Cricetulus griseus: one gene and its partners. The protein of the gene in region 5 purifies or fractionates together with the protein of the main gene of each other region. This does not show direct contact. Links are inferred from orthologs where the notes say so. Each region holds a gene or a part of one and is shown on either strand. Other genes may lie near its edges. The genes, in order: Cep350, Cep78, Ppp2r3c, Ppp2cb and Cep43.

Evidence for each region.
Region 1: the proteins of Cep43 (region 5) and Cep350 purify together in Homo sapiens (affinity purification with mass spectrometry; 6 studies listed by BioGRID and IntAct, counting the BioPlex papers as one, with this or other methods). This does not show direct contact. The link is inferred for Cricetulus griseus from reciprocal best matches to the Homo sapiens genes CEP43 and CEP350.
Region 2: the proteins of Cep43 (region 5) and Cep78 purify together in Homo sapiens (affinity purification with mass spectrometry; 3 studies listed by BioGRID and IntAct, with this or other methods). This does not show direct contact. The link is inferred for Cricetulus griseus from reciprocal best matches to the Homo sapiens genes CEP43 and CEP78.
Region 3: the proteins of Cep43 (region 5) and Ppp2r3c purify together in Homo sapiens (affinity purification with mass spectrometry; 3 studies listed by BioGRID and IntAct, counting the BioPlex papers as one, with this or other methods). This does not show direct contact. The link is inferred for Cricetulus griseus from reciprocal best matches to the Homo sapiens genes CEP43 and PPP2R3C.
Region 4: the proteins of Cep43 (region 5) and Ppp2cb purify together in Homo sapiens (affinity purification with mass spectrometry; 4 studies listed by BioGRID and IntAct, counting the BioPlex papers as one, with this or other methods). This does not show direct contact. The link is inferred for Cricetulus griseus from reciprocal best matches to the Homo sapiens genes CEP43 and PPP2CB.

What each region holds. Positions count from the first base shown.
Region 1 is NC_048598.1:35,890,360-35,893,877, reverse strand, and holds part of Cep350 (centrosome-associated protein 350), read right to left. Parts: intron 3,225-3,518; coding exon 3,142-3,224; intron 2,116-3,141; coding exon 128-2,115; intron 1-127. UniProt on the Homo sapiens protein: Plays an essential role in centriole growth by stabilizing a procentriolar seed composed of at least, SASS6 and CPAP. Required for anchoring microtubules to the centrosomes and for the integrity of the microtubule network.
Region 2 is NC_048596.1:45,104,695-45,108,212, reverse strand, and holds part of Cep78 (centrosomal protein of 78 kDa), read right to left. Parts: intron 834-3,518; coding exon 698-833; intron 343-697; coding exon 297-342; intron 1-296. UniProt on the Homo sapiens protein: Centriole wall protein that localizes to mature centrioles and regulates centriole and cilia biogenesis. Involved in centrosome duplication: required for efficient PLK4 centrosomal localization and PLK4-induced overduplication of centrioles.
Region 3 is NC_048598.1:147,145,970-147,149,487, reverse strand, and holds part of Ppp2r3c (serine/threonine-protein phosphatase 2A regulatory subunit B'' subunit gamma), read right to left. Parts: intron 3,462-3,518; coding exon 3,364-3,461; intron 2,290-3,363; coding exon 2,219-2,289; intron 1-2,218. UniProt on the Homo sapiens protein: May regulate MCM3AP phosphorylation through phosphatase recruitment. May act as a negative regulator of ABCB1 expression and function through the dephosphorylation of ABCB1 by TFPI2/PPP2R3C complex.
Region 4 is NW_023276807.1:51,178,241-51,181,758, forward strand, and holds part of Ppp2cb (serine/threonine-protein phosphatase 2A catalytic subunit beta isoform), read right to left. Parts: intron 1,878-3,518; coding exon 1,668-1,877; intron 474-1,667; coding exon 300-473; intron 1-299.
Region 5 is NC_048595.1:292,382,362-292,385,879, forward strand, and holds part of Cep43 (centrosomal protein 43), read right to left. Parts: intron 3,121-3,518; coding exon 2,891-3,120; intron 2,039-2,890; coding exon 1,926-2,038; intron 398-1,925; coding exon 329-397; intron 1-328. UniProt on the Homo sapiens protein: Required for anchoring microtubules to the centrosomes. Required for ciliation.

The DNA of each region.
Region 1 (3,518 bases), on a different chromosome or scaffold from region 5:
GAAGAATAGCTACAAGTCCTTTAACAACATAGCAATTTGTATCTAATAAGCAGCAGGTTGGGGGGAATGCCCACCTCAAGTCACTGAGTAAAAGGTAATCAGACTCTCCTCTAGATGAAATACTCACAGGTCTGGGACACATGTCTGGAGAAGAGAGCTCTTCTTTTTCATCTTCTAATTCAGACCTTAAAAAGCAACTTGGAACACTGGGTAGTTGTTCCTCAATGTTTTGAGGTGGGTCTTGGAGCAGTACTTCCTTTTGGTCAAGAATCTCCTGATTGCTAAGCTGGATTTTCTCATTCCTTGACTTTTTGATTTGTTGTAGTTGACTAACTGTGTCTTTCACAAAATCTTTTAGTAAACTGTCTGTCAGTAAGCTGACTGTTTCTAGTTGTTGATTTGACTTTTTTTCTTCACTTATTGATGACTTCAGCTGAGCTTCTAATTGGTTTTTTTCTTTTGTTAACAGGTCCAGAAGTGGGGTAGAAGGCTTTTCTGAAACTTGGGAATATGAATTCTCTTCCTTCTCTGCAAGATGCTGTAGCTTTGATTCTTCAGAAGATGTGTCATCTGGAGTAGCACCTGCAGCATCAGGAACATAGTCTGTGATGTCAGAAACAAGGGCTTTGTTCTCCTTACAAGAAATGAGGGGATCTACTGAAGATTGTTGGTGAACATGGGCTTCTAGGCCTCCAGAATTATCGAGTTTATTGTCGGTTTCTATGTTAAGGCTTCTATCTGTATCCACTGAGGCTTCTATACTATGCATACTAGCTAGCGATTTCTCACAAAAATATTCAGCTATATCGTCTTCTCTGTCTTTTAGACATTTTATATCTTTCTGCTCTTGATTATAGAATTGATAATGTTCATCAGAATAAGATTCTTCATCTTCATTTATGTCTATATAGTCGTTAAAGTTTTCTAGGATGTGAGATATTTTTTGAGGGGGAGCGAAAATACCATGCTTGTCTTTGCACACAAAATATTCAATGCCATCATATGTTCCATTGTTATTCCCTTCAGGTTTATCCAGTTCTACTCCAGCCCAAAATCCTTTAGCAAAGTTAGTCTCACCTTTGAATCGAAGAGTGCCTGGCTGAACATTGCCAATTAACACCCTATCCCCAATGTGGAAGTCCAGTAGCTCGTCTGCAGCAGAAACTGCAGCCAGAGAAAGGGAGTCAGTAATACCCTGTTCGTGTCCCACGTCACTGCGCTCCTTACTTTTCATCAGCTCAGTCGGGGACTTGAGTTCCAGCAGCCTTTCAGAGTGGACACTGCTGTGAATGGAAAGGCTTTTTTCACTTAGGCACTCACTGATCTCATCATCGCTACCAAACCCAGAGGCCCTGCTTCTAGAGCTCCTCATCGGCTGTGACTTATCTCTGTAAGACTGTGAGTCTTTCCTCAGCGCCGATGATGACACCTCAGAGTCATCTTTGTTAATCTCTTCAGCAGAAATCCCTTTCTTGAAAGAAGACACTTCAGCAGAAATCCCTTTCTTGAAAGAAGACACTTCAAAATCTTCAGAATAAGATGATTCTTTAGGAGCAGAAAGGTGTTCTGACAAGGCTGTGTCCCCTTTCTCTCTGCCTTTGTGCTCATGGGTCTCTCTTGCTGACTGGATGTCTGGGCTGTGATCTGTACTTTGATCACACTGATTCTCTTTCAATACTTCATGAAAAATTTCCATGGCTGATTTACCTAAATCGTTCTGAATATTTGTAGAGTCTGAAGGAAGTTCTTTATTTGAAAGGATTTCAGAGTTCAGGTCTAGTCTCAGCAGGACTTCAGATCTTCCTGACTGCTTAGAACAGGCATCTTCAGTCTCACTCTTCTCCAGTTTTGTGTATTCTAGTTCTTGTATTTCTGATTTTTGACTAGAGTCTTCGGCCTTAGCCTCGAACACATCATAAATCCTACTAGGTGCCCTTGATTCCATGAGAGGAGGTAATGAAGGTGCACTTTCGAGAGAGTCTCCTTGTTCTGACCCTGTTTTTCTCGATGACACAACTGGAGATGAGGCCTGCAAGTGTTCTTCTACTGCTACTCCCTTTGCAGATGTAAACAGTGACCTTTCTGATATGGCTCTCTCAGAACATGATAATGAATCTTAAAGAAAGAAAAAAATCACAGAAAATTATTTAATTACAGTCTTTCAAATCTGAGACCCAAAATTTAAATAAAAGCCAAATCTCAGTTAAGAAAAGGGTTTTTTTTTCCTTTTAAGAAAGTAAAATATATTGCAAATAAATACAACATTAAAATTTTTCAAGTTTGGAATAATTTATAAAGTAACAGGGACTAAGTTTATGACAACATGTTTAACATGATAGTTTCAAGCCATGGGAAAACAGGCTATATATCTGCATATCTATGATGTTAAGGGCTAAAGTGGCAAACTAAGAATAAAGTATGATATAATTAACTAACAAATCAGGAGTTACGTTTTTTATTCAAATCTCTACTTTATCATTAATGGCAGTTTTTATTTGCCTCAGTTTAGTGTCCTTTTGTTTTCAGTAGCAATTTTCTAATTGTTATCTTTGAGTTAAACTGAAAAATAAGACTACAATCATTTATCATATAATAGATGTATAATCCTACTATAGGGAAGAATTTGAGAGGTTAATAGTATGCAGCTATTTGATTTTCATGCCTCACTTTTTACAATAAAAACTTATTTAAAAAGAACTGAGTGCTGGGACAAAAGTTCCCAATAGTCTCTGCACTTGGGAGTCTAAGGTAAAAGGATGACTTGCACCCAAGAGTTTCCAATTAGAGTAAGCAACAATCCAGACCCCATCAGAGAAGTAAAATGAGTAAAAGAGCAAGTAACTTCAAATGATAATTGAGAAAGTGAACTTTCTAAATTAAAAAGTTTGTCTGTCTGTCTGCCACGTGTGTGGGTGTTTGTGGAGTCCAGAAGAGGCAGTTAGGGCTGCTGGAGCTGGAGTTAGTAGCAGTTAAAACCAGTCTGAGATAAGTGGTGGGAACCTAACTTGGGTCTTCTGGGAAGACATCACATGCTCTTAATTGCTGAGCAATCTCTGTAGCCCCAGAAATTCACTTTTGTAGAGGTAGAATTCTGTGGGACTTAGACTATGTCTTTACAACTTCGTTCTTTCACGCACATACCAATATGTTCAGCAATAGATGCCAAGGACCCTCTGGATCGCTCTGACTCTGTTACAGATTTCCAATTTTTTGCTGTTTCAGATCTAAAGTGGAAAAAGTAATAATAAGATGAATATAATGTAGACACTACAATACCTGACAATAAGCAGGCATTCTTAGACAAGTCTTTCCTCATCTCTAAGAGGAATCTCAAACAGTTGTCACCTTACAAAGCCAAGCCTGTTTCTGTCCCTTGTCATTATCTGTGGATGAACTCAATGGAAAAGTAGAGGGCACCAGGCACCAGGTCACACCACCATGCCTTTCTACCTACAAATTCATCTATATCTGTAACCATTCAATTTCCTTTTTTCCTGCTATCTGAGAGCAAAAAGTAC
Region 2 (3,518 bases), on a different chromosome or scaffold from region 5:
CGTGCGTGTGTGTAAAATACATATAATACTCCAAAGCAACATTGGAACATTTTTGAGTGGTCATCCCCTGGTCAAACCTATTGTAAGCATCATCTTTTTTGTAGAAATAGTATCTACAAAGGGCCTCCCAAAGTATGTGTCATATACATGTAACTGTACCATGGTAGCCAGGAATCCAGAGAGCTTTAAATACATTTATGTCAGGGAGGGAAAACCATCCTACAGAGCTCTCTATTCAGCTGACCCTACACTTCTACTCTAATCCCTTATATGTCAGAAACATGACAGATACATACCTTCAGAAGGTTAGGCATATCACGAGTTTTGAACAATGGAAAACCCCTAAAAGGATATCAACAAGTTATATTTTAATGTATACACACTACATGATTAAACTTATTTGTATTATGTACACTATCCATATAGAACCACAGCACTAAATACCTCTAAATCACCTATGAAAAAAACCTGAACAGACCAAGCAGAATGTCATTCTGACAGGTTACTTAAACATAGCTGGTTCCCGAGGATTGGTAGATACAGTCTGCTTTTTTGTCTTTCCTTAGGGCACTCCTTTGCAGAGGCTATGCGTGAGTCACCCCTTTCCACTTAAGAAATCAACAGGAGAACTCCTATGTAACAGAAGCTCCTAAATGACAGCAGTCAGGACTGAGGCACATGACAGAGAACACCTTACCTGTTTCTTCTTGCACGTTCTGCAGTGCGCCAGGGCAGGAAACCTGACGCGCCTGGTGGCAGAGGATCTGGGGCATAGCAGTCTTTACTGAGCCCGTGTTTTCTCCCATTATTCCCAGGTTTCTTTGTAGCTAACCCTATGTTCAAGGAAGACATAAAAGAAAATCAAGATGTACTAAAGGACTACAGATTACCATTCACACACTCCTAACAGAACACAAATGAATAACTGACTACGATGCCAAGGCTATTACAGTACAAGTGATTTATAAACTTTGTTTTTTGAAAACGGGTTTCTCTGTCTAATTCAGGCTACACTTGAACTTACGACCCTCCTGCCTATGACTTAACAGTGTGTGGATTACAGGAATCCCTGCCCAAAAAGGCTGAAGGTTACTGAGTGGATGTTATCCTCATTTTGATGACTTTCAGTCTTCACATGAGTATAGAACACACACACACACACACACACAAAGATGAAATGAGGAACTTACCTTAAAGTCAACACTAAGAATTAAACATGAAATACTTGTAGCAGTTAAACCCATATATTAACACATTATTAGAAGAAATCATATATTAAAGTTCACATTTTAAGTTTTTGTCTCTAATATCACTGAGAACAAATAACAAAAGTTTACTAAATCAGTTGTATTTAATCTTATCCCTAGACATCAAAAGTTTTAGACCAGTCATAATAAGATCCTGTTTTGAAAAGAACAAAAAGTAATAAAAGTAAAATAGAATGGTCGTGTATATCCCTCTGGTTTGTTGTACTAGGATGCCATCTAAAATGAAGCACATGTAGTTATATAGCACATATATTTCTTTTAAAGTCATTTTAAAAAAAAGCACACTGATTTGTGTATGTGTGCTGTGGCATGCAGGTGGGCAATTAGAGGACAACTTGCAGGAGTCAGTAATATCTTTCCACCATGTGGGTCCTGAGAATCGAACTCAGGTCTTTAGGCTTGCTGGCAATTGCCTTCCCCTGTGCTGTCTCAGTGGCCCAAGGTGGATATTTCATACAGTGTAACTAACTCACTGATAATCACCACAGTCCTGTGCCATTTTCTGCATACATCAGTGTAACTATTAAATTGCAGGAACTCAGTTCGTCCTGTGCTATTGCATTTTTTATTTTATTACTATTATTTTTTAAGGCAGCGTCTCACGCAGTCCAGGCTAACCTCAAACTTGCTGTGTAGCTGAAAATCCCCTTGAACTGATTCTCCTGCCACTACCTCACAAGTACTTCCATGTTTGTTTTTTCATACAGAACAAGCATTCCAGTCTATGGCAGTATATATACCCCATTTCTTTGATTTTTCAGAAAAACGATAACATTTTTAATTAAGACTAAAAAGGTTTGTATGTATCTTGTTAGCTGAAAAAAAAAGTAGTAAAATAAAAGTTCTTATCAACTTCTTGAACATATATTCCCACATAACTATGACACAATTAACATACAGGCTCTGTCCTTACCGAACTCTACACAGCAAGACACTGGTCAGCTGACCTCCATGTCTCCAAGTAACTGAGGCAAACAGCAACAAAGCCAAGAAATAAAATTCCTCTTACTCAGTGGCCTGTAAACTGCAACCACAGCTCCACTCTCTCCAACAATACTAACAAGCAAATTCTTGCTCTTCTAATTGTCTAATGCCTGGCTACATGCCATTCCTAAAGCCACAGCAATGCACGCATTGCATATCCTTTTCACTTCACTTTATAATGTGTATCAAAGCACCAACTGAAGTACTTTTTAGAAGACTTACTCATGACATAAACTTTAGGTAATAGCATGATACTCCAAATCCCACTTACACACAGTTTGACTGCTGAAGTATCACTGCTGTGATCGCACAGTGGGCAGACAGCCTGTACTTCCTCTTGACACAGCAAGCACTTGGCTACTGTTCAGGACACTCACTACTGCTTACTACAAATAAATTGCCTAATTCAAAGATACTTCTTTTTAAAGACAGGGTCTCATTATGTAGCTCTGACTGGCCTGGAACTATGTAATCCAGGCTGGCCACAAATTCAAGAGATTCACCTACCTCTGCCTCCTGAACACTAAAGGTGTGCACTGTCACACTGAACCCACAAACATCTTTTAATAAAACAAAAATTGCATTTCTGTCCTTTCCTTCCCCCCCACCTTCAGTTTTTTGAGACAGGGTTTCTCTGTGTAGCCCTGGCTGTCCTGGAACTCACTTTGTAGTCCAGGCTAGCCTTGAACTCATAAAGATCCGCTTGCCTCTGCCTTTATAGTAAGAACCTTTCAGTTTGTACTCAATTACAAAACTAATACATGGCTTGACTTTTAGATTAACTTGTAACACACACTAGAGAATTGTGCTGGCTAGTTTTATGTCAACTCAACACAAGCCAGAGTCATTTGGGAAGAAGAAACATCAACCGAGAAAATGGCCCCACAACAATGGCCTGTGGGTCATTTTCTTAATTAATGACTGATGGGGCTCACCTCACTGTGGCTTGTGCCACCCCTGGGCAGGATGAACAAGCCATGAGGATCAAGCCAGTATGTAGCATCCCCCATGATCCCTGCCATCAGCTACTCCCTCCATGTTTCTGCCCTGACTTCCCTGGCTGACGGACTGTGATGTTGTAAACTGACACAACCCTTTCATTCCCAAGCTTCTTTCAGTCATGGAATTTTGTCACACAAAATCATAACTAAGATAATTTTTTTTTTTTTTTTTTAAGCTGGGCATGGTGATGTTTCCCTGAAATCCCAACTACTTCAAGAGTTTGAGACAAGAAGATCATAAGTCTCGGGACAATCTGGGCAACAC
Region 3 (3,518 bases), on a different chromosome or scaffold from region 5:
TCTATTTTTAGCTTTCAGCGGGTATTTTTAGGGTGGCGGTGGTGAAATAAGGTCTCACTAAGTATCGCAGGCTGGCCTCAAACTTGTGAGTAATCTCCTGCCTCAGCCTCTTAATTCCTGAGTTTAAAAAGTGTAAGCTATCATGCCCAGCTTCATTTCTAGCTTCTACTATGGTCACCATTCATCTTGGCCACTATCACTTTTCCCTCACAAGACTACAATAGACAGTTGCCCATTATCTCTACCTCCATTCTGTGCTCTTCTAATCTTCCATAATACATCCAGAGTGACCTTTAAAACTAGAAACCATGGGACAGGCAAGATGGTTTAGTGGGTAAAGGCGCTTACAGCCAAGCCTGAGGACCTGGACTCAATGCCCAGGTCCCACATGATAGAGAGAGAGACAACTCTTGCAAGTTGTTCTCTGACCTCCACATACTCACACACAAAACAAACAAAAAAAGCAAAGCAAAACAAAACCAAAACCCAAACCACACTCTGACAACTCACTGGAACATATCCTGGCTTCTTTTGACTCTCAAAATAAACCCTGAACTCTTCACTATAGTCTAAACGACTCACAAATGTGGTCATTATGTACTTCTCTGACTTCTTCTGCTATTCTAGCTTTTGTTCTAAACACACCAGCTTCCATTCCTACAGAGACAGGCAGAGGTAAGAGTGCTTTCCAGTAGTGATGGTCTGTACCTTAAAGGACAAGAACTATACTCTGCCCCTGGGAGGGACAAAGTGATGATCTTAAGTAACTCATTAGCTTATTGATATTTATGCCCAACAGGCCTTCTTCCTTAAGTTCTAAAAGACAACTCCATATTGGAGAATAAAATATAAGCCCAAAAGAAATATAGCCACACAATTTAGATAACTGCCAAAATTACCTAAGTAGCATAGCCATTTGAGCCATGAGGTTTTAATCCTGTTCATAACCAGGCCTAATGACACAAATACCTATAGGAAATAAATACCCTCTTGGTAACTCTTCAGGTCCCTCTAAACCTATGGGTAAAAGCAAAGCCCTATTAGCTTTCCCCTATATTCTATAAGAAAGAAACTTTTTGGTCTTTATCATAGTAATAAAATAATGCACACATGAGAATAACCAAGCTGGTGAGATGAGATGGCTCTGCAGGTAGAGTGCTTGCTGTGCAAGCCTAAAGACCTGAGTTGGAGCCCTAAAATCCATGGAAAGTGGGGAAGAGAGAACCAGCTCCATGAAGTTTTCCTTCAGTCTCCACATGTGTTCTGTGGCACATGTTAGCCCTACCCCATCTCTCTCTAGCCCTTAGAGAGGCTGGCTAGTGAGATGGCTCAGCAGTTAGGCACTTGCTTTGCAAGTGTGAGGACTGGAGCTCAGATCCCAGAACCTATGTAAATGACAGTGGGCACGGTAGTCCACCTGTAACATCAGCCTTGGATGACTGACCCAGGATTCTCCAGAGCAAGCTACAAACTAGTCATGTGGTGAGCTCTGGTTTAATTCAGAGTCTGGCTCAATGAACAGGAAGGAAAGAGTGGTGGAAGATGATCCCTGATCAACCTCAGGCCTCCACGTCTGCCTGCACACAAGCCAAACATGCACCATTCACAAAAACATTCCAAACTTTTTTCTTCAGTAATTGTTCTCTCTCTCCCCTCTCTCTCCTTCCTTCCCCACCCCTCCCCCCCTTCTGATTTCGGAGACAAGGTCTCACTACATAGTCCTAACCAGGTTGGCCAAGTGGTCCTTGTATCCTGGCCTCCTAAGCTAGGATTAGTGGTATCTGGCACCATACCCCACTCTCATCAATCATTTTTAAACCTGTTTAGATAAGTTCTATTTATTTATTGACAATGTTTTGCTATTATATAGCATAGGCTGGCCTGGAATCAATCATATGTGGAGCTTCAGCTACCTCTGAACTCCCAACAATCCTCCTGCCTCAGCCTCTAAAGTGCTTGAATTAGAAGTATGTGTTATGATGCTCAGCTTCCTTTTCCTTTCAAAAAGATCAAAAGATATTTTTAAAAGGCTAGAAAAAAAGAACTACAGATCAATATATGTGGTCAATATATACAAAATTTAACATGTTTACAGAGGTAAAATCAGCAAACTAAAGCTATGACGCAAAAATTTACCTGTAAGTACAACTAACTTAGTGATGATTAATGTTAATATTTTGGTGTTTATAATGTTTATTAAATTTAGATCAATACTCACTGATTCCCGAAGGTACCCTTGCCCAGCAACATCATATAAACTGAGTCCAATTCTTGTCTGATGCAGCCAAACTGACAATAAACAAGAAATTACATGTAAATGCTAAGATCTGTTCTTTAAAACATATAATAAAAAAGTAAGACACTAGACTAGAAGTGCAGGCTAATTCTGAAACTCCATAAAGCTATTTTCACATACATTAAGTAACTCCCCAAGCCATTTAAACCAAAAGAAAAAAGCCACGAAATAGCAGATTTCAACGATTCTGCCATGATTACTACAGTAAAACTGATGCCCTTGGGAACATTGTCTTCTGATTATTAAACCTGGTGTTCCACCCCACAGGGAGAGCTAGCACAACATTGGGTCTTCAGTGAAACTTGTGTCCTCCTGAGGTTAATTACTGCAGCCCAAATCTATTAATTAACAATGGTATACAGTAAGATTCCACAGCCCATATAGTACTAAGATTCATAACAACTCCAAAATGTTTTAATACAGGCTTCTTGAAACCAAGACTACAACTGTGAGTTTGCAGCTATCCTTTCAGACATATATATTAGTGAAATAAAATTACCAGTAAATTGAAATTATTTCAAATCACCCATTAAAAGTCTTGTTCTGCTAAGAGTGAAATCATAGTGAGGACACTGTGGCAATAGGACAGAGCTGACTGAGAAAGGCCCTTTGGGGAGAGTACATGTGACCCAGAAAAAAGAAAAAAGTGTAACTGCTTTTGATATCCCTACTCTGCCACCGTCCTTAGGGTACACAAGGCTTTTGTTTAAAATGATGAATTCAGGAGCTGGAGAGATGGCTTAGTGGTTAAGAGCACTGACTGCTCTTTCAAAGGACCCAGGTTCAATTCCCAGCACCCATATGGCAGCTAACAACTGTCTAACTCTAAGATCTGACACCCTCTCACAGACATACATACAGGTAAAACACCAATGCACATAAAATAAAAATAAAATAAAAAAATACAATAATGAATTGATTTTAATACAGATAATCCTACCTCTTTACAGTACACAGCAGAACCATAAAGCACAGGAAAAGAGCATATCATACAGGATAAGTAAGTGCAGACCAGTGCCTGCTTGATTCCCAGACAAAAGTTCAAACTCACACACACAACAAATCACCTTTTCGCATGACATAGTTGAAGAACTGCATGATGGAAATTCTCCCATATGAATCTGTATGAAGGAGTTTGGCAAAGACTTTTGCAGTAAAAAATTGCCTAAAAAAGGAAATGAAAATTAAAGTGGTCTATCAGCAGTACAAAAATGACTTCTGT
Region 4 (3,518 bases), on a different chromosome or scaffold from region 5:
GTGTTGGGTACACTGAGTCTAAGCCTGGGTAGCTTAGTGGATTGTCTCCAAAACACACATATACAACCCCCCCTAAAAAACCAACATCAACAGACTAACCAAACCATGGGTCTGTGGCTCAATGGCAGGGCACTTGCTAGCATGCACCAGACACCAAGCCCCCAGGTTTAATCCCCAGCATTGTATTAAACAAAGCCAGAAACTTGTATCTTGTAAATACAGATCCTGAGTTCCTGATAGAAAGTATTTTCCCATGTTTAACCACCTTCTGTAAGACATAGTTACACACACTTACACACCTGTCCATCTACTAAAGCTGTAAGTGGAAGATAATCAAAGAGATCTGTAAAGTATTTCCATACGTTGGCATTTCCATACTTTCGTAGACATTCATCATAAAAGCCATAGACTTGGGTGATCTGCCGGCTTTCATGATTTCCTCTCAATATTGTAATACGCTCTGGATAGCGCACCTGAAAGAAAAGGAAAAGAAACGTGGTATAATCGTATCTCACCAGTATTGTGTTAGTTTTAACATCAAAGTCATTTCTTTAAGTAGTTCTTTTGTCCATTTGTAAATTAACTGTTAGCATTAAGGACAGGTATGTAAACTATATATGAGACAAGTGGATTTTATGCTTAGATGGGTCCCCTCATCTCATTATGAATTATGTCAATTTCCCAAGATCCAAAAATCCCAAGCATTTGTTGAGCTGGGGCAGGAGGCACAAATAGGAAGTAGCTAGAGTAATCTTGTGGGGAAACTGGATCAAGAAAGAACTAGATGGCCTAGAGCAAAGAATAAAAATATTCTTTGAGGTGGGAAGTTTTTGCTATGAACTGCAAGTAGGTCAATTCAGACCAGACTAAAAGGAGAGCAAGAGTTCAGCTCTACTGACTGTAAGGAATTAAAGAAGACAGAACACACAGAAGCTAAACGAGGAGATCTCTCATCTGGCAGTGTGAAGTGGTGAGTGTAGGGCAGTAAAAATAGGAAGGCAAGAACAATGGACCTTTCATGGCATAAATTACAGAATTGCTTAATGGTTCCATATGACGAGTAGTAAGTAATTAAATATAATTCAGAGTTCAGTTATGAACAATGCAAATGTTACACATTTATCAGAAGTAGATACAAGTTTAATGCATTAACCTCTCTCTCTCTCTCTCTCTCTCTCTCTCTCTCTCTCTCTCTCTCTCTGTTTTTTGAGACAGGGTTTCTCTGTGTAACAGCCCTAGCTGTCCTGGAACTCGTTCTGTAGACCAGACTGGCCTCGAATTCACAGAGATCTACTTGCCTCTGCCCCCGAGTGCTGGGATTAAAGGTGTGAACTACCACCACCCAGCTAATTTTTATCTCCCTTTAAAAGATGTAAAGCCAGGCTGGAGAGATGGCTCAGAGGTTAAGAGCACTGGCTGTTCTTCCAGAGGTCCTGAGTTCAATTCCCAGCAACCTCAGGGTGGCTCACAAGCCATCTCTAATGAGATCTGGTGCCTCTTCTGGTGTGCATGTATGCTTGCAGGCAGAACACTGTATACATAATAAATAAATCTTAAAAAAAAGATGTAAAGCCAATGGTTATTTAAGCTGAGATACATGCAGCACTACCATTCTTGCTTTTGGCCTAATGTGAAGCTTACCCCTTACCCATTTTCACTAATCATACCTTTAATGCTACAAGAAGAGTCACAGTCTCCACAGAATAATAACCTCTGTCTACGTAGTCACCCATGAATAGATAGTTGGTATCTGGTGATTTTCCACCAATTCTGAAGAGTTCCATAAGGTCATGGAATTGGCCATGCACATCTCCACAAACAGTAACAGGACAGCGAACCTCTTGTACATTTGATTCTTTTGTTAAAATTTCCTTAGCCTGTTGGAAAAGGAAAATCAACAATTAAAAAGATTCAGTTACACATTTAACAGCATTTCTTACTTACTGAAAGAAAATCCAGGGGGAAAACCACTTGGAAGTATGCCTTGTAAAAATAAAATAACCCGACCTGGCAGTGCACACCTTTACTCTCAGCACTCAGGACGCAGAAGCAGGTAGATCTCTGTAACTCAAGAGCGAGTTCCAGTACAGCCAGAGTTACAAAGAGAAACCCTGCCTTGGAAAACCAAACGAACCCCCCCCCCCAAAGCACACAAAGAGACACCCCGACTTATGGCTATAATAGCAAAGACTGGCAATGACACGTCTACAAAGATGCAGACAACTTGAAATCCTTAGGTAAGGTAATAATAATTCAATTATTCATGGCAACATTACTCTTTTACTTAAAAGATGTATTTTTACTTTTTGTGTCTGGAAAGCAGAGGGGAGCATCAGATCCCTTGGAGCTGGAGTTACAGGTGGTTGTGAGACATCTGACACAAGCACTGGAAATGAACCCAGTTCCTCTGGAGGTGCAGCAACCGTTAGTAGTCAAAAAAGTACAAAGTAATGCCCACTAAGTCATGAGTTGACATAGCATAGGATACCCAACCAGATTGAGAGTGATAACCAACCATTAAAAGAAAAATAATGCACTGCTATGTGCTGTTATTTTGAAAATACTATGCTTTTAAGTCAAAGAAGCCAGAAACAAATGATCATGTGGTATTATGACTTCACTTATCCTTACATCCAGAGTGAAAAAGTCAAGTCACAAAACCATGGGATCTGTTTAATTAAAAGAAAAAAAAAAAAAAAGCTTAAAAACAAAATGAAGCAAAACCGTTATTGAGTACAATGCAAGAAGCCATCAGATCTGATGGTAACTATAGTACTTTCTATAGCCTGAAAAATCATCTTGCTGTCACCAAATCACTGCTGCCCAGCACAGAAAGAAGTACTTAAAGCTATGTCAGGCGAGACAAGCCCAAGCATTAGTGCAGGGATGCTAAGCACAGGAAGCAAGAGAGCCTAGCACAGTGCAGTAAGACTGAGTAAGACTGGGAAAGAGGCCTTTCAAGAGCTTAGTCACTCCTGGGACACAACTGTCAACCAGACAGACTAGTAAATGATGGACTAGTAAATGATGAGTAAAAACAATGCCAGCTACACTAAACTCACCTTAAACTCCCTTCTGAGTCCCCTGCCTCCAATTCTAAAGGGCTGTCTGGCTTACATGGTTCAATTTTCTATAAAGACCATTAACTCCACATTTGCTTTCTAGAAACTCTATGTTCTACTGTAGTAATCCAGAGTACTGCCTTAGGATACTGTCTCAAAGCCAAAATTGCAGTAAGGCTTGTCCAAGCACTTGCCTCCACAAGCCTGAAGATGACTTGATGCTCTGGACTTAAGCAGCAGGAGAAAGCTCTCCTCACACCTTTACATTAATGCTGTGGCATGCACCTTCCAACAAATAAATGGAAATTTAACAACAACAACAAAAACAAAACACTGTAAAATAGCCAAGTTACTGTACCCTCAGTCTGACCTAAACCAATTGGTTACACCCAGCTGCCGCCTCCTCGCTGGTTACTATTCTAGACAAGTGCTTCCCTACTGAGGCACATCCCTACC
Region 5 (3,518 bases):
TCACAGCACCCAGAGAACAGCTCGGTTGCTGTCACCACTTCACCCATGTTCACTGAAACCTTTGTTATACAGCTCTGTCTGGATCACCAGGCCCAGCCACAGCCTCTTCCAGAGGCCTTCCTCAAAAGCCCAGTCCAGGGCCTTCCCCTACCACAGTCTGGACATGAAGACAAAGGATGGTGCAACTTGTTGCCACCGTCCCCTGGCACAGGGCTAACTCTGGATGCATACTAACTCTCCAACACCTGCTGAATGACAGCAGGACGGTTCTTCCATGTAGACCTGGAAAAGGTTTTCAACAACCACACTAAAACTGAAATACAGTTACCTAGCCCAAGTGATCCGATTTTCTCACTGACCAACTTCAGATCCTTTAGGACGGTGCTTCCTCTTTTACCTGCAGACGGGAAAGAGCACTGTGTGAAAGAATTCAGGGCAACATTCTCTAAGCCACACCAAGCATTTACACCCTAAGAGTATGAAAGCCTAGAGGTAAAATTATCAGTAGAGGCTACAATCATGTGTTATGGAGAGAAATCAGATCATACTATTCTTTATTAGAACACAACCACCAAAATAAAAATGCACACAAAACCTAGTACTGTGAACTCCAAGTGGACTACCTGAGGAAGTCCTGCTGATGCTCTGCACACCAGGTTAAATACCAGCTGACTATGACAGGGTGATATCCACATATGCTTTCCCAGGGTGAGGATGGGATGAGATGGGATGGCATAGTGCAGGAAGCTGGCTATCCTTTCACCTTGCTAGCAACCTCTCCTCTGTTCACATAAAAATGTCAGACACAAGTCCCTGATGGCAGAATGACTATGATGATCACTCTATCACAAAACTTCTTTTAAAATTTAAGTTATTTTAAGGGTTTATGAGGCATGACTTACAAGTTACAAATGTTTTCTGTCTTGGAAGGGGACAGCACCTAACACTCATCTTAGGTTGACAATACTCCTATGAAAACTCTACTGGAGATGCCTAACCTACCAGCCCAGCCCAGCCCAGTCCAGCAGTACTCGGTAGAGGCTATTTACCTTCCCCAGTGATCATGTGGCTCATCAACATGTTGATAAAACACAGAGGGATGTGCATACTGCAGCCAGGGAAAACCAAGACTAAATTTGAAGTATTATGTATGACTTCTGTGTAAAATTTAGAAATTGTATATGTATACCTACTGATGGTCTAAAGCATTTAAAAAGTCAGCTTCCGAAAACTATGTTGATAGCATAGCAAAAAAGAATACAAATGGTGGAGAATACTGACTACATTAAGAGTGGCAAAATATTGTCCATCTCATTAAAATGGAGATTTTTCTAAAACAACAACCCCCCCAAACCAAACCAAACAAACAAAACTACAACAATAAAACCCCCAATCTATATTAATTGTTATTACATATGACTGGCTAATTTTTTTTTTTTTGACCTGACACAAATAATCACTTCCTTCCTCAACTTACTTTGGGTCATGGTATTTTATCACAGCAACAAACACCACACTTATCCGAAAAAAACAAACAACAAACAACAACAACTAACCTGGTAGAGTGATATCTTGTTTATATCCTAACAAATAAAGCTTGCCTGAAGATCACGTTGGGCGCCAACATGTAGCATGAGTTCTAATAGGTCTTAATAATAAAAGCCTGGAGTCAGATACAGAGGAAAATGCTGAAAGATCAGACAGACAAGGAGCAAGTCACAGCCACCTTTACCTCGCTAACTTCCCAGCTGAAAAGAGATTGAGCTCCTGTCTCCTCCCACCTCCTCACTTCCTGCCTATCTGTACTGACCTCCAGACCTCTACGGTTATCTAGTGGCTAGCTCTGCCCTCTGATCTTCAGGCAAGCTTTATTTGTTAGAGTATAAACAAGATATCATTACAACCTGGAGTATTCAAGTACTTACTCTCAGTATCTGTTAATGAAGGGGCTCCTGCCAGGGAGCTGAGACCACTCCTGAAGGGGGGTATGTCAGAGAGTGAGGCCAGACTTCCAACGTGCTTCCTAGGTTCATTTCTCCTAACAGGAAGCAATTAATAGTTAAATGATAATTTCAGGCCTTATCACTATAGTCTTTTATTCTGTAAACATAAAAAAGCAATTTAAATATGCATCTAATGGTTGACATGAAGATTTTACAGATTGAAAACCATACAGCACACCTACAGGACAATGCAGACTGCAGACGTGCAGTTACAGATGCATAAGATTGTCAGTGAAGCACCAGCTCCCCTAAATTCCCAACTGTTTACTATCTCTCAGCCAAGTGGACCTTCAACTATCTAGGAGCTCCTTCAGAAGCCCCCTCCATCTTTTGAAACACAAAAGACAGTACAAGAATCAACAAATAAGCATTTCCTCTCAAATGCATACTGTTCAGGAAGCGCAGAGCCCTTCTAACCTTCAGAGGCTGTTTCATCACAACTTCATGCATTCCAGTCAGCTCCGTCCTAACTTCCCAGGCACTGCCATCAGTGTCTACCCTGGCCACCCCCTCCATTCCATTGACAACTCCTCCCTGGAGTCTACCACAGGGCAGCACTCCAGCAATACTGTTACCTTATTCTAAATCCCCAGGTGTTCCCTTATATTAGCAAGCATCCACACATGCACAAACTGAAACTCTGATACAGCTCCTATCACACAGTGAGTACCTGATACAGACTCATCTGGTGAAAATGGCTCATCTGGTGCCTTCAATAATTCTGGCATTATTTTATAACATACTAGGTTTTACTGACACAAAACTAGGTTTATGGATTCAATAATTATATAGTTATTAGCAAATCATTAGTTTTAAAATATAAAATGAAAGCATTTTAGATTTTATTTTTAAATCATAAGTCAGATGATCCAAAGAAGTCTACTCACCAACCATAGGTTTTTTCTGGCTTAGGAATGGGATCATCAAAGAAAGAGTCTCCTTCTGCATCATCTTCCTCCCCACAAAGAACACCTTTGTCTTTTGCATCTAAAGTGCTGCTGCTCAAGAAGGACGCGATTCGTGTCTCCTGGGCCAGGGAGTGAAGGCTGCTCTTGCTCCTTGGCTCTGATAAGGAGATACTACTGGGCTCGCTCTGACTGCTCTCGCTGTTGGTCTTCTAAGAAAGATGGAGGGAGGGAGAGGTCTCCGTGGTGATAAAACTTCTAAGATATCTTAAACAATAGTCAACATAGGTGTGTGTGTGTGTGTGTGTGTGTGTGTGTGTGCGTGCGTGTGTGTGTGTGTGTGTGTGTGTGTGCGTGCGTGTGTGTGTGTGTGCGCGCGTGTGTGTGTGTGTGCGTGTGTGTGTGCGCGTGCGTGCGTGCGCGCGTGTGAACACCTGTGCTTTCAACAGCAGGAACTACAGTGTCGTCCTATGCTTTCCCACTTCATTCCCAGGCTTCCTGACATGGACAGCTTTCCAATGGTAAAATGTTAAAGAAGATGTTTACACTATTTCTTTCCTTCTTTCTAAATGAAAATGTTTTTAGTGTGTATCCCACTTAGAAACTTTCT